Tribolium castaneum: one gene and its partners. The protein of the gene in region 3 binds, or shares a complex with, the protein of the main gene of each other region. Links are inferred from orthologs where the notes say so. Each region holds a gene or a part of one and is shown on either strand. Other genes may lie near its edges.

Region 1 (5,274 bases), on a different chromosome or scaffold from region 3:
ACTAAATAAACTTTCGAAAAATTCGATAAGGTGTGCAATTAATTAAAAGAAATGTTCGATATGTCCACCATTTTTATTTAAGAAGTTAAAAATTCGAAGGCAGACTGACTAAGTTACATACTTTACATAATTCACTAACTTATAATAAACCATAATTACATATTATTGTTTTACTACTTATTCGATAATCATACAGCTAAAAACGAAATAAAATGTTGAAATTTGACAATTGTTGACCATTTTGCAAAGTCTACTTGATTCACGATGAAAATTACAAAATAAAATCCTTTTTTGTGATTTTTCAAAAACCGTAAGAGATAGGTATAAGACGTGTTAATAAGTCACCATAAATGTCGATGTTCTTTCGATTACCTTTGAGAAAATAAGGTGATTCCATAAAAAAAACTGAGTTAGAGCCGTTTACGATAATAATTTTCAAGAAATCATACTAGCCTTGAATTTTGACAGTCAACAAATTTGAAAATTTCAGAAAGCTTTTCAAACCTTCGGTTACAGAATGTAAAAAAATTATTCACTTATCGCAAATGGTTCAAGAGCAGTGATATTATAAATAAAACTGATATAATGTTAAAAACTATGACAGATAAGTACCAACAACTTGGGTAAATTTTACTCAGTTTGAAAACAGAATTCAGAAATGTGTTTTATTTTAAATTAATTTAAATCCAACTACGTCCTGAATTGTTTCACCAAATTCGACACGAAATATGACAAGACGATAATCAAAGTATAGAATTTTTTTTGACACTTTGATAGTAGTTTAACGGTTCAAAATCCTTCACCAGAGAGCGTAAAAGCGCGAATTAAATCCACATAATAATTAAATACCTACCGCTAGATGTCGTGACAAAAACCTCGTCTTTGGGCCCCTTCCACGAACAAACAAGGCACGTTTCAACATCGTGCCTCCACAGTGTCTCCTCACGCACTTTAAAATCGTGCATTGCATAGACAATCTCGTCGTCAATGATCGGAAATCTCTCCAAAGAGGCATCACGTGCCTCACTGTCCACATCCAGAAACAAATGATTAATGTCATGAGGCAAAGTCACGCCCATGTAACACCGATCCTCGCTTTCGTTCCGATCGTGGACACTAAACCGCTTAATACTTGTCCCAGTGGTATTTAAAAGATTGAAATCTTCGATTAGTGAAACGGGAACATCCCAGCTACTATCACTCCGGATATCGTCCGAGTCGTAGGCGGGTTCTTCCAAATACCTCGGCGATTTTCGTAAGGAACGAAGTGTGGCATAGCCAACCAGATCCTGATGGCTCAGCTTACTGGACCCGCCCCCGCCCAGCGATTGGAGCGAGCGATCCGAGTTAGACCCGCCTGAAAACACGCCCATTAGCCACGCCCAGCATAGCCTATTAAGTTACTTTGAACTGAGACACGCCGTGACGATTCCGAATGACGCCGCACTTTCGCCGATTGTTTTAACGTACTGAGACTACAGGAACTTGGTATAGGACTCAAGATTTGTGGCCGTTCGCTGAAATGCCCAATTAAGAAAAAACAAATGTAAAATAGTGACTTACTAGATCACAGATTTGCCTCCGCCGAAGGAATCGCACGAACTCACCCCGGACGTGGTCGATTCCGTGGTCGAATTGTTCCGAACGCGCCTCACAATCTCGGTACCCAATCGGAAGCTGCCTTTTTTACTGTCCTGAGGCGCTCGGATAATCTCGAAGGTTTTCGACTCGGACAGCGACCTCTTGTGGTAGCCCGCCGCTTGGTTCTGATTGGCCGGCAAAGTCAGGCTTTTCTGGGGGCCTGCCACTGTGGAATCGGGCAACATTGACTCGGACGTATCGTCGTCAGTGCTGCCCTCTACGTCCTTAATTCCCGAGTCGAAGTAATACAAAGTGGGCGTGATATCGGGGAAACTACTCGGAAGTCGTAAACTGTCCTCGTCCTCGTCCCACGCCTCCTCTTCGATGATTGGCCACGCCACGTGTCGGTTATGACGTGTGCTAAACCAACCCAGTTTGAAGAGTTCGTCGGCGCCTTGTCGCGTTGTTGCGATTAGACCGAGGGCGTAATACGAAGTTGCCCGAATCGAGAACACTAAGCACTCTTGTGCCAAGGTTATCAAAGCTGCCAAACAGTTGTGCAAAATTAGGTATCTTAGGCCCTCGCTGGTGCTGCCGAAGTGGCCCAAAGCCCATATTGAGGCTTTCAGTTTCAAAATATCGTCCTCGGTCTCACAAACGCCATTCGTGAGAAACTAGAAATAAAGAATTATCGCAATGTGAGCGCCTTTTAAATCGTAATTTCGAAGTTTTATAAAATATTTATTTGAATTGTGTAGCAATTTTCACGTTAAATAATTTATGCTGGCAGCGACAGTGACAAAATAAATAAAAACTGGAGGTATTTTTTCATTTTATATAAGTGCTGTGTATAAGTGTTTTCTGTTTTGCAAAATGATTTTCGAAGAATTAACTTACACTTTATTAAAATTGGGTAATAATACCAATGTTTCTCAGAAAAAAAACAAGTCAGAGCTGATAATAGTACAGCATACCAAATTACTAAGAACAGTGCTAAAAATTTTGACTTTGTAACACCGTTTTTAGTACAAATCTGGTAAACAATTAATTAAAGAAAAAAACGTAATTAATAAAAATTAAAAAGGGTACAAGAAAAAACCCAGATTAAAGCGCCAACAGGAATCAGACGAATTAAAAAAAACAAAAAAAAAGAATTATAACGATGACGATGAAAAAAATAGTCAACAAACGCGAAATAGAAAATAACAGTAGGTACTTATACAGAGTTTTGAACCAAACGTTTTGTGTCTAAATTAATTATGTACCTTACGAAAAAACTAATTAGTATTATGTATCATTAACTACTTTTAAAATGTAATCATTTTTCAAAAATAATTTTTTCAATTTTTTTTAGTTTTCGAGTTATTAAAAAATTTTTTTTTCAAATATATTTTTATAAATGACTTCTAATTCAATAATTTTGTTTTTAAAACAGTGTTTTTTTAATAAAGTATTAGAATTACGTTCCGAGCTCATTACGACGATTTGTTCAAATTTAGCCGAAGAAGTTGTATTCATGGATATAAATAAAAACATAACAATTTATTAAAAAAAAATACACCGGTTAAAAAATAATACTATTTTCAAGCAATTTTAAAGCACAATCATTTACCAAAAAAATCGCCGTGGTGGAGTATCATTTATTATTTATTATATATATATTTCTTGAACAACTCGAAAACTAAAATGAATTTCGAAAAAAAAAAATTAAAAATGCATAAATTTTGTTTTATGCAAAAAAATCGCCGTGGTGGTGTGTCAATTATTATTTATTATATATATTTTTTGAATAACTCGAATTAGAAGTTGTTTACAATTAAATATGAGCCACAAAGTAAATAAACTTTAGGGGTTCTTTATTTTCATGGGCTAGCAATAATTTTCTGTAGGAATATTTGCACAAAACACCATTTCAGAATATCATTAGCAATAAATAGACACAATATTAATTAATTTCTAGCATTTCAAGTATAAAGGATTGTAAAAAAAATTCTGAAAAAAATCACAGACAGAGAAAAAAAAAGTATTTAACAGCAAACGCTCATTTTTATCTGTGTATTAGTTTTTTAGATGTACCATGGAACAATCTAGTAAAACACACTTTTAGAAGTTTCACCTTGTAAACTTAGCACTTACAGCGTTTCGTTAAACAAATAAACGCTTTTTTATTTCACTATTTTTTAGATTGGTAAATATTATATTGGTAAATTTTATATTAAATAATTTGTTCTGGCAATCACTCACTGACAGAGACTGATAAAAAACATACGACCCATCAAGGATTTTTTTAGTTCCTATTTTGTGTTTTCTATTTTGCAAAATAATGTTCAAAGAATTAATTACAACCCGAAAAAAGGGCAATCAGTCCAGTATAATTTTTTTTGAATTTGTACAATTTTTTGGTACAAAATAAATGGGTGTTTCACCTGAATCATGTTTTCCAGCGACCCGTGCTGCACTAGAATGAGAAAGCCATCAGTGTGCCGCGCCAATTGTCCGTAAAGATGCGGCGGCAAGAAAAAATCCTTCCTATTTGTCGTCCTTATCGTGCTTGTCCTCTTATCGTATTTCCCGTCCTCGTCCCTCTGATGTAAAGTCAAAGCATCGGAGGTTTCACCCTCGACTAGTTTAATGTATCTATAAATGAAATACTCGTCCCATCGTTTAATTTCGTTCACAACGAAGTCGTTCTTGTTCAACAATTGAAACCCGGAAGTTATCGATAACAACCTGAGCGCCAACAACGAGCCTTTCTCGCCCAAATGGCCCAAGTCCGGATTTAACTTAACTAAAGTCTCTAAACAGCTTTCGACTTCACAAGCCTCATGCAGTGTGTTTAACGCGGCGAGGAACACCGACCGCGACGGATCCTTCAACTGTTTGACTAGACACCGAACGCCCCAGTCGGCGAAATTGTTAATTCCGGCCCTTAGCAGCACTAGTAGAAATTGGGTGGCGTACAGTCTTGAACTTTCAACGGCGCACTTTAACACCTCGGTCAATAGGTCGCGACAAGGCCCCGCGTTGCTGTAGTCCAGAGACGACACGATCAACTTGACGTAACAGTCGTTGTTCGTGGTTGTGGCCAAGTGTTCGAGTTGCTTGAAGATTTGTAAGCTGGTCAGCAGCTGCATTCCCACGTCGGTGGAGGAGAGACGGCCGAGGAAGAGGAAGTAGCTTTGGCATTGGGTGCTGTTCATGTGCTGGGGGCTGAAGAGACAGTCGTGGACGCTGCGGCCGCTCGTTATCGCATTAATGTTGCCCGAGATGTCCGACAACAGGTCGAGCAACATGCGGTTGCTTTCTTCGTCTTCGAGCTCCAGGAGACAGTTGATTAGGTCGATCCCGGTCAGGGTGTAGGCAATACTGACTTTAGGCGTGCTCAAGTCCATGTGGGAGAAGCGGTTGCGCGAAGGGGTGTAGAAGTCGACGAGGCGTTTTATGAAGTTGCGATGGGAGGTCTCCGAAAGGTCGATTTTTAGGGATTCACCCTGTGGGATTAAAAATGACGAAAAAATTTACAATAAATTGACTTACCTTTAGTACGATTTTGATGAGGTTCCAGTTCCACGTGTATGGGTCTTTGTTCACCAAAACCCCGGTTTCTTTTATCACGTCGTCTCCGTCTTTCCCCACAAGCTGGCAGATAAATCGTTTGTTTCAAAAATAATTAAAAACGAAGAAATAAATATT
Region 2 (5,374 bases), on a different chromosome or scaffold from region 3:
GGTCTTCACTTGAGCGGTACTTCGAACGGACTTCGGCGATCTGAGCCGCTTGCATGGCCAGCGCGATCTCCTCATCGTCGTTGCTGTTGAACGAGGAGGTGTCCGAGCTCCCGACACTTGAAGCGTCATCTTCGACTTGTCGCTTCTTCCGCGGTAAAGTCGGTGGGAGTTTGCCTTTGCCTTTGATCCTGGGGGAGGTTTTCCGGCACTTGCAGCCCACACCGCATTGACAGTCGAGACTTGGTGACCGGTCAAGACTTGTGTTTTCGGTGCAAACGCCCGAATCGTTCGGTGACTCGTTTTCGGCCAAAATCGACGATAGCGTGGCCGCGGCCACCGAGATCACCTCCAGGGAGTCGTGATCCGGGGGCGAGTCCCCAGGCTGGGGCTCCACAACCGACGCCACCACGATATCATGAGCTATACTATTCGGGATCAAGTACCCCGAAGTCGAAGGCGTGTCCGTTTCAAGGGGATAAACAACGGGTTTATCCTTGTTAACGGACACCTCCCCCTTGGCCACAACCACGACCTCCTCGCGGTGCAAGTCACCGTAAAACTGGTCGATGAAATCGTACCGAAAATCACTATCACTGAACGACTTAACGTCACTAATCTGCTCGTTATCGCACAACAACTTCTCCAACATGAACAACTCGCGCTTGTTCAACGTCCACAACAGCTCGCGGATCTTGTGCAACAAAGTCCGAAACGGCCGAAACATATTGCTCATCTCCTCGATCGGTCTGTCCACGCACAAAGGTCCACTTGGAAAAATCAAAAGGCCACTTACGATCGCCAGTCGCGGAATAGTAAACATGAGCGCCGGGTCGCAATCGTCGACCATCTCCTGGCTCAGGAGCTTCATTTTAAGCGCGCGTTGCAACGTCTCGCTGAAGAGGACGCCGATCAGCTCCTGGAGCTCGTACTCTTGCATGGACTTGACCGGGACCATGGCGCTGACGTAGGCGAGCTCAAACTCGGCGAATAACTTATCGAAGATTTTTAAACTTTCGAGGAGCATTTCGGTGACGAGCTCGTTGCTGTCGAGCTTGATGGGGCCGTTGGGGGTGTTGTTGCGGAGGCAGGTGTCGCGCAGGAGGTTGCGCACCGTCTCCAAGCTCTTGGTGACGGCTTTGGCGAGGGGGCGCATGGCCGTGCTTTCGGCCTCTTTGTTCATTATGGACGAGCCGGCCGCCAAACACTGCAAGAAAGCGGTGCTGTTCAAGGCATGGCCTTTTATGGGCACTTCCGTGCGATTGTGTCACGAAAAATGCTCATTTGACGTCGTTGACTTACGGTTTTGGTATTTCAGGGTCGCTTTAAATACTTACTTTAATACGGTGATATCGCGCCGTTTTATAACTTCGTAAATGCTTGAGGTCAAGTTTTATCATTTGTTTTATGAAAATCGGGCGGAAAATTAATTACGAGTAAAGTGTTAAAAATGGAAAATTTCGATAAGTGGGTGCTTATTTGTACAAATTATCGGGCTCATTAGACCTTGCTTGCGTCTGAGGTTGAATGAAGTTGACCAAAGTTGTTTATTTTTGTAATAAACTCATTTCAAAAAAAAATTCTTATTCATTAATGTTTGCTTTAATTTTGTGATATTTAGTAAAACAAAGACAGAAATGCCCAAACTGAATAACAAAAAACCTACTGCTTTCAAAATTCTTCGTTAGTAATAAATAAAGTAATTAGTATGTAGTTCAAGAAGACTTTCTCGAATTTATTCAATCGTAAATATGTATTCTGATAACTAAACATTATTGTTTTAGCAACTGGAAACAAGTTTAGATTTTTATTCCACTACCAAAGTTTTTTGTAGCAACAATTTTTTCAGATTTTTTATTATTGTTCCTAAATGTTATTTTACCGAGGAATGTTTAGGAAAATTTAGGTAAGGATTCAACAAGAAAGTTTTATTTAACGCAAGCATTATTTTTTTGTACATCTTACATTTTATTTTATTTTCTTTGTATTGCTTTAACCAATTTAATAAGTTAAGATTTCTGTCAAGAGACCATAGTTTCTTGCCCAATTTTTTTTAACTTTTCCTTCTTCCCTCTTGTTTTTTAGTGTTATTAATTGATTGTTTTCCTTGTGTTGCCGCTTAACAGTACAACAAACACAGATAAGAAAAATTCGTGTAACAACAAAACTTAGTCATACTCGTTACAAGTCGCAAGATAACGAAATTTAATTAAACCCGTCTAAAAATACAAATTATCGATAATTTCCCCATGCTTGGACCAGTTCAGAATCGCTGACATTTGCATAATTAAGGTCAAACACCGAAAAACATTATTATCGGTGAAAATATTTATTAAAATTATCACTGACGTTTGGCTTGTTGACGATAATGCGCAAATAACGGAAAATTTCGAAAACCAGCCAAAGGGCTCATTACCTCAGCCCCAAACCAGAGCTGTCCCGCCAAATTCTCCTGGAGCACATCCTCCGGGAACTTGACCCTGAAGTCCCTGTTGGCCCTCTCGTCGCCAATGAGCACATCCATGATGGCATTGGTGATCGTCAGCACCTTGTCCTGGCTCTGCCTCAGCTGGTTGACCAACGTGGTGCACCTCCCCGGGTCCTTGCGTCCATCAAAACTGTCCAACTCGTTGGCGATGATGTTCAAAGCTTCGTCGGCGAAGAAAAATTGCGCCAACAAAGATTTGTCATCCCGCTGGAAGAAAACAAAAGGCCTGACGTCACACATTGGGGAAACTTTTGATTTTGATCGGATGACGTCACGACGTAGAAAGCGAAACAAAACAACAACGCGTAATTGCACGATGCCTACTTAATCAGCGAAATTAATTCGTCGATTAGGAGGTAAAAAAGAAACTAGACCGTTGGGAAATTAGGTTGCGACATTGAATTCATTAACGGGGCTCACCTTTGGTCTGTAGAACCACTTCCGCAACGACTCCATCCTCAGGCTTCCTGCATCGTCCACAAGCTGCTTCCGACGAATTATAGGCAACTTTTGCGGAAATTAGAGCACGGTTTCAAGAGAAACCATGTTGATCATCACTATTTGCACTAAATAATGGGCTTTTACGACACGGAGACAAGGCTGCTTTTGGCGTCATGGCGCTTGGAGAACGATAAAATATTATCCAAGTTATTGCTCTGGAGTTTAGAACTACGGTTTTATCAACTTTTGAGGCGATTAGCACGTTTCAAGACAACAAAACGTCTGGAATGATTCACACGACATACTGATTTTGACAGGTGTGCACGTAGTGCTGACACCTACATAAATCCAATTACAGGTTTCTGTAACCCACTAGACGAATAACTATAAAATTTCAAGCCCCATTTCTGGAAACTTGCGTAAAGAGGGCACAAAATAACAATTTTTGAAAATTAGTGTCCCTTTATAATTAATTTACCTCAATTATTTAAGTTTTTACAAATTTTAGCAAGTTTTTGGTTGGGGTTGGTTGGTACCATTGTCACTTTTTCGCGCCCTTACATGTCTAGACAGTTCACTGACCCGCCGTGTCGGCTGTTTTTCCCCTAAAAAGTGTGTTTTTGTTTAAATCATTGTCGTAATGCTCGTAATTAAAACCTAGTGGTGTAACAAAGTGGTGTATGTGCTAAAAAACTACTTGGTTCAAGTGGTTCTAAAAGGGCTTTAAAGAAAACACAGTTGTGGCTTTTTCTGGAACTGGAGGCTGCAAGGTAAGCCTCTTAATAGTAGATTATGGTGCTAGAATTAAAAGTGCTACTTTATGTGGCACAGCTGAACAGTTATTTATTATTTCATATAATTTAGGCACATAAAGTCACTTACTCCGAATTACAGATAATATTTTATCCGCAAACGTAATAGTTTGTAATTATTTTACTATTGCATTAGTGTTATTAGTAATTTTACATAAATAGTTATCAAACGCACGCTTAATTTTTCAAAAACTGCAATTTACAAAAAATTATAGTATTATGCAACCAATTATGCTGGACCCTATTGTTGGTTGCAGAGTTATATAACTTGTAATCAGGGATGGTACAGTCAAAGTTAAAATGACGCTTTAATAAACTATCCCCTGCCACTTACCCTACTTTAGTGAATCGTTTTACTTTACGGAGATTCAGGAAAAATTATGTTAGATTTGTGTTAATTTTTATAAAACTCATTTTTTTTTGTATGAAATGACCTGGCCTTCTCGATGATTTAATTTAATTGTGATTTTCAAGGACTAGCATTTTGGGCCGCAAAACTTGCTAATTAAATTTAATTGCGTTATAAAAGTTGGCAATTAATAAATTTATGTATTTTTTGATAAAATTTCGCGAAAGTGTTAATTAGGTGTTATCTCCATTTCTAATTAATTTTCTACAACAATTTATGGTGTGAATAATACTGTCGGTAATTTATCGTTAGGAAGAGTTGATTTTGTTAATTAAGCTTGTGACTACGATGTGAAAAGAATAATTACAAGTGGAGAAATGTGATTAATTTGACGTTGAGCACAATCAAATCAAAACGTCGTCTTTTAATTAACAAAAATAAGGCAAGCAGCTGAAAGCGTCCGTTAAAAATTCAGAGAAATTAAATGAAACTTTCATAATATCTCCCGTAATAAATAACCGGCCATCCAAGAAAAAACATTAGTCCGTTTCTCGGAGATTATCGAGGGCATTTACAAGTAATTTCGTAGGTATTCCGCCCTATCTCCCTATTACTATTGATTACGGCACAGCAGGCTTAGACAGTCGTTGTTTTAAGTATTTTTTGTGTGTGTGCGACTGGCGACAGAAATTTGTCACGCGATAAAAGTCAGACGGAGAAATTAGTAGGTAAAAATTCCGAAAAAACAAAACGACAATCGGGGGATGAAATCGCAGACGGCTTGTCCACTTTATTCGCATGCCAGTTGATTGACTTCTAATGAACTTATGGTGGCCCCATAGGCGGGAGAGTAATTGCCTCTATTTACCCTCTACACTGCTAAAAACTAGCCGGCCGGGCAAAAACAAACGAAAATCACGTACGCCATCTTAACGACAATAAATTGGACGTACCGTTAGCGAAAAAGCGAGATTTGTGTTGAAACTCAACCGCAAGCTTCCGTTACGCAACCATTTTTTGCGCCTCCGAATTTTAACCAGATCGCATTGTCTAATATTCACCGAAATCAGCGCAATATCACCGGCCAATTATACGCCCCGATAATCCTCTGAATAAATAAATAGCTAAATAGATTAGTCAGCTAATGGAATAGGTTAATAGATTTAGAACAATCATTTTAATCACTCCACAATCACACTATTTCCAAATTTCATTCCCTGTAGCAGTCGATCTCGGCGGGTTGCTCCGGAACGTCGCTCAAAAGGTTGTACATGTCGGTGGCAACCC
Region 3 (5,374 bases):
TCTTTTTATTTTAATTTTTGCCCAGTATTCATAATAAATAGTATAAACCTTGTAATTCAGCTCAAATGAGAAAGTTTAGTAATTAGTATTTATAAAAAAAAATTGAAACAAACTTTATTAAAACTGAAAAAAAAACTGTATAAACATGATTAAACTGAAAAACACTCAAGTACGGTGTTTTTATTTTGCCTGTCTATTATAGGACATACTAGATTTCCTACAATTTTATCCACAAATGTATTTATTCAGATAAATTATAAAAAATTACAAAAAAACATCGACCTTCTTTCCTTAGTAAATAGTAAACTATCACTTCTCTTATTCGTCTTATTGTCAGGAAGGTTAGTGAAAATAAAAATGATGAAACGCAAAAGTAAAACAGTTACACTATGGTCGAAAAATACTATTACTTTTTTTTATTATTTCTATTATTGTTATTATTAAATATTATTATAATATAATCATAAAAGTTGTCAGTCTTACAACGTTTGGAGATTTAAATTAAAAATTAAAAAAAAAGACACCCAAAAATTACTGATTTTTAAACGTAAAAACAAAAAATACAATATAAGAGGGTGAAGATTGAGGAAGCTGACGTATGTACAGCTTGAACGTGAGCTGTTTTAAAGGTTTGAAACTTTTTTTTAACCTTTTAACCACAATAGTAATTATGGATTTAATATTTTTGGAATTTTGGATCGAGGAAAATAAATAAAAAATACCGGATATTTTAGTGCAATTGAATGTTTTGTACTAAGTAATTCAACATAATTACCTGCTCTTTTGTTACAAAAAAGTGGCAAGGATTTCATGCGCTTTTTTCAAAACCAGTTAATACTTCATCAAAATGTGGATATTTAAACAATTTTCGTATTTGAACTCCGACAATACTCCATCTTTATTTTTGTATCGTTTAAATTTGGAAACTTAGAAGATAAAAAAACATCACCTTATTTATTCCATTAATAATATAATCGATTACAAAAATGTCGTGGTAAATAGTAAAATCGTAATGTTCTTAAGAGAAACAGCATTTTCGTAAATTACTTTTAAAATGTCATTATATTTTATTAAAGTGATTATTTTCAAAACTAAAAAATAGTTTCCAAGTGGAGATAATGGAATTTTAGACCCACTTTTATCTGTTTATGTTTCATAATTGGACCTGACCTTTTAATGCGGTTTGGGTCAAGTTCATTCTTTGTCATTACACCAGTTTTTTATAATTCTCGAAGGAGTAAAAACTGCTTTGCCAAGGAAAACAAACAAAAACAGCATTAGTTTTAAAGTGCGTAAAAATAAATTCTTCTAGCTATAATTAGAACGCAACAATAGAAATTATTTCAGGAACGCAAACAAAAATGCTTCACACTTTATTTTATTAATAAATAATAGATTAAGTCCGATGATAGGCAGGTAAATTACGTCTAAAAATAAATATTTAATTACCTAATGCAAGTGCGAGTTAATCTATATTTTTACGATAAGTTAATACCTTACTCTAGCGATATCAATCTGTTGTAAAACATATTTATCGGTGTAATTTTTCGAAGCCACAAATTACTGTTTAAAAATAATATGAACAGTCAATTTCATTTCGGTAAAAGTTCATTAACCGTCAAGTGTTTGCGTTTAGTCTGCGGTCCGCATCATTGCTCAACCTTGGCCCACTTCCAAGTCAAAACAAGTGGTTACTCACTTATCGATCAAATCCAGGGTGACTTTGGGCACTAGTTTTGAGGTAGACTGTAGAACGAACCATCTTAAGGCGACCTTGATTGGCGTAGTAAGGCAAGACGTGAACAAATCGGCCGGTAAATCAGGATTCATCGGTAGCACTTCCTTCGCCCCGCACGCCGCCAACTGTATGCAACTCTTATAGGAGGGCAAAGGCGCCACCACTGGATTTTGCCGCGACTGACTCGTGGCCTGCTCGTACTCGGCCTCGTGTTGGGCGGCAAACCGCTCGAAAGACTCGATTATGATCCCGGCGTTCGAGCAGTCGTAGACGTAGATCGAGGGCGCCCCCATCCACGTTTGCAGGTCGTAGATGGACAGGGGGATGTATTGCGTGTAGGTCTGTGTGAGAACTGGTTAGTAAAGTGCTGGGGCTAGTTGGGGGTTGTTTACTCGATTGAACACCCAGATTTCACCGTTTTCCGTCGGTTTAGGAACTCCATGACCGTTGTAGTGGAACAGAACGCGTTCCTCTTTGGCGTTGCGGCGCAGCGAAGTGCACAGTTTTTTGACTTCTTCCGAAGTGGGGTCCAGGGACTGCTTGTAGCGCGCGCGGGGCTGCCACCGCTCGTACTGCGCCTGCAGGTTCTCCCCGATTTTCTGGATCGACTTTGGGGCGGACAAGGTTAAGGGATCTGGAACACGACCTGAATTCCGCGAACGCATGCCGACCTAATTACCTATCCAGCACTCCAGACGCGCACATGGCTGGGTTTTCATCACGTCGGGCGGGTCCACGCCCACGTTCAGACACAGAACTAGGGCCACACTCACTGTTTTCATCTGGAATTTTGTAATTAAAACAAGCAACTTGTGGGCGGGTTGCAGTTACGCGTTCTTTCATGCGCCATGTCTGCGTTATGCACTCGACGCCCTCGATGGGCTCCAAGTGCCTGTCTTGCATGAAGCTCAGGGGCAGGTCCTTGTCGGAGACAGCCTCCTTGTCACTGTCTTTCTCGTCATTGCCGTTGACACCCAACTCTGTCATAGTTTTCAGCCGCGTTTTCGGGTTTTTTAGGAGTTGTGAAGTGGGATTTATTTAAGTCGTAACGATTACATCAAAAAACGGAATCAACACCTAAAATTTACACACGCATGGCACGACAACAAAACTGCCATCTTACTACCAACTGTTAGGGTTTTTCGTTCACTCGAGCGGGAACACCAAAATCAAACAGCTTTTAGAGCTTTTTTAATAATTTATTATCAATATTAAATACAATCAATGCGAGATAAAATCCTTAGTGGCTATCCTACTGACGACGGAGTCCACAATAGTGCTAGTCGCCCCTTCCTCAGGCCCAATCTTGTAAGCCTTCTTAACAGCGCCCAAATCCCGAATCTCCTCAAGTGCCCCCAACTCCACTTCCGTGCCTTTAATTTCAGAAAGAACGCGACTGTCGTCGTCGCCGACAGTCACCACCAGCAAGTCTCTACAGTCGTCAGTGATCCCAAACTGTTGCAAACTTTTCGTTATGTGTTTGGATACAGACAAATTGAATAAAATTTCAGTGAAAATCGTTTTAGTGGTGCGGTTTTTGGCAGTTAGGGCCTTGTTTGCGGCCACGACTAACTGGAACGGGTCCACAATCAACTTGGGGTTTACGAGACAACACTCAAGTTGACCTGACATTATTTTTTTACGCAAGTCGGACACGTTCTCAACACTGTGGAATAAACGGATGTTGAGGGTTTTATTCACGAGGGGGTCCAATGCCGCTTTAACCATTTTTTAACGGTGAATAATAAAAAATGTGGAATTGTAGGGTTAGGTTTATTGTCAGTCTCAGGCGAGAAATTCGCTACTGTAGAATCTGTAACGCACGAAAATGATTAATAAAATTACAAATAAAATTGTGCGTGTTTGCTGCTCCCACCCAATTATTGATACTCTCAATACAGTCTTTTGAAATTCCTTTAATAATTTAAAATAATAGGAATTTCGCGTTAGTAGCAAGTCATCCAAAATGACTGCTTGAGTTGGCCATCCTGGCTTAATAAAGTTCAATCAAGTGTCGCCACACGTTTTCGAGTTGGTAAAAAAATGATACACAGACTTTAAAATAACATTTTATTTTCTATTATTGAATTAAACAGTGTCTTGCTCTGTTAATGTAATATAAAAATGAAATGAGCATGAAGAATGCGTCCAATTGCCTACAGAAATCCGAAAATATTGCAACCTGCTATAGAAATTGACGATTCATTTATTACCTATTAAACTATGTTAAGTTATACAATTTATTTGGCGGTTCAAGTTCTCAATAGTAAAAAGGATCGTTCCGAATCAAAATGATAACAACAAGCGGATACATAGTAAAAAACCTAAAACACGTCTCGCAAACTGGGTAAAAAATATGTAATTAAACTTTGTATTAGAAATATATAATTCACAATATTGATGTGCTTACCCATATTTCAAAGGAAGCACATGGTTAAAAGATTGAATCTATGTACACAAGTAGCTGAAAAATCAGCACTTCTATTAACTGAACTGTAGCATTCAGTACTGAATGAACCAATTGATTGACTTAATAAATAAACTGCAAGAGAGGCTGTGCAAGAACTGACTGATGGGAAAATTGAATGAAACAGTTAAGTTTAATAAATTGTCGGCAGTTATTAGTCCTTTTTTGAGCTGATCTTACAAGCAAAGTTCACTAGTACTATACACATCAATCCCGTCGAACGAAAGTTCTCCCTCTGTAACAAATCAATCAATTAAATTATGATACGGATGTCTAAAAGTTAGGATACGAAACGACGTACAAATAAAACGCTCCGTTCTCGATAGTTCCGTCAGTGTCGCCAGAGAGCGCAGTTGTTCCTTGGTTATGTTAGTAAAACAAAAAATACAGACAGATGAAGCATTAAATTCTCAACATAAGCAAAATTTATCGTAAACTGTAATTAAAAAAATGTCAAACTTTTACCAATTTGCACTCCCCCATATTTTTCAAAACGGTGCGAATACGGTTGAAGATACAAAAAAAGTGTAAGGAAGAAAGTTGTAGAGAATTGAATTTGCTAAAAAAAAGTCCGCGAGACCATATCCATATCTTCAACCATTTTGGCCCCAAAGTGGTCCAAAGACGCTCAAGCGACGGATTTGTTTCATTTTACCGGTTGCCAAGTATCGGAGAGTTAATTTATAGCTAAACCGTTAAAGATAGAAATATGGTATCGCGGACTTTTTTGTAGGAAATTTAATTCTCTACAACTTTGTTCCTTACACTTTTTTTGTATCTTCAACCGTATTCGCAGCGTACGCAAAAATATGAGAAAAAACCCTGTGATTTTGTACTTCGTTTCGTCTCCTAATAAGTTGTTAAAAAAGCAAAAAGACGTACGTTATAGTTTTCTTATCTGTCGACTTGTTCTCCGGCCTGGCCCTGTTCAGGACCTTGAGGAAATCGGACGTCTTGGCCCTCATCCGACTGTGAATGTAGGCCTTGGAGCATTTGATGTGATAATGTAGATAATGGCGAAACATGTGAATTAAATCTATTGTGTTGTCCCTCGTGGTCCTTGCCGTGTGTCTCGGGAACAGGACAAAAGTGACGTACCCCACGTTGTTATCGACCTTCGCGTCGGTGTTCTGGAGCTCCCGGGGGGGCTCCCGGTGGCTGAAGAGCAC

What was found.
Region 1: raptor (region 3) and rictor share a complex: the UniProt entries of both Homo sapiens proteins name them as parts of the mechanistic target of rapamycin complex. The link is inferred for Tribolium castaneum from reciprocal best matches to the Homo sapiens genes RPTOR and RICTOR.
Region 2: the proteins of raptor (region 3) and lateral signaling target protein 2 homolog are in contact, whole or in part, in a cryo-EM structure (PDB 9F43), measured with the Homo sapiens proteins. The link is inferred for Tribolium castaneum from reciprocal best matches to the Homo sapiens genes RPTOR and ZFYVE28. Residues at the interface, in NP_065812.1 of Homo sapiens: Arg54, Arg305, Arg306, Thr317, Asp321, Phe337, Arg338, Leu341, Ala344, Arg348, Leu437, Gln438, Leu440, Leu441, Ser442, Gln443, Arg446, Pro474, Tyr475, Lys478, Leu479, Gln481, Ser482, Ser483, Ala484; in NP_066023.2 of Homo sapiens: Arg399, Val400, Phe401, Phe402, Met403, Asp404, Asp405, Val406, Glu407.

The regions. Positions count from the first base shown.
Region 1 is NC_087395.1:23,063,355-23,068,628, reverse strand, and holds part of rictor (rapamycin-insensitive companion of mTOR), read right to left. Parts: intron 5,221-5,274; coding exon 5,119-5,220; intron 5,073-5,118; coding exon 4,008-5,072; intron 2,256-4,007; coding exon 1,564-2,255; intron 1,518-1,563; coding exon 1,405-1,517; intron 1,358-1,404; coding exon 854-1,357; intron 1-853. UniProt on the Homo sapiens protein: Component of the mechanistic target of rapamycin complex 2 (mTORC2), which transduces signals from growth factors to pathways involved in proliferation, cytoskeletal organization, lipogenesis and anabolic output.
Region 2 is NC_087395.1:24,480,081-24,485,454, forward strand, and holds the start of lateral signaling target protein 2 homolog, read right to left. Parts: upstream 3,268-5,374; 5' UTR 2,942-3,267; coding exon 2,906-2,941; intron 2,693-2,905; coding exon 2,414-2,692; intron 1,205-2,413; coding exon 1-1,204. Other genes in the region: uncharacterized protein LOC107398699, read right to left, coding at 5,298-5,374. UniProt on the Homo sapiens protein: Negative regulator of epidermal growth factor receptor (EGFR) signaling. Acts by promoting EGFR degradation in endosomes when not monoubiquitinated.
Region 3 is NC_087399.1:3,466,264-3,471,637, forward strand, and holds the start of raptor (regulatory-associated protein of mTOR), read right to left. Parts: upstream 2,883-5,374; 5' UTR 2,726-2,882; coding exon 2,570-2,725; intron 2,521-2,569; coding exon 2,418-2,520; intron 2,373-2,417; coding exon 2,131-2,372; intron 2,080-2,130; coding exon 1,700-2,079; intron 1-1,699. Other genes in the region: EKC/KEOPS complex subunit Tprkb, read right to left, coding at 2,960-3,466; Arpc2 (probable actin-related protein 2/3 complex subunit 2), read right to left, coding at 4,413-4,440, 5,088-5,374. UniProt on the Homo sapiens protein: Component of the mechanistic target of rapamycin complex 1 (mTORC1), an evolutionarily conserved central nutrient sensor that stimulates anabolic reactions and macromolecule biosynthesis to promote cellular biomass generation and growth.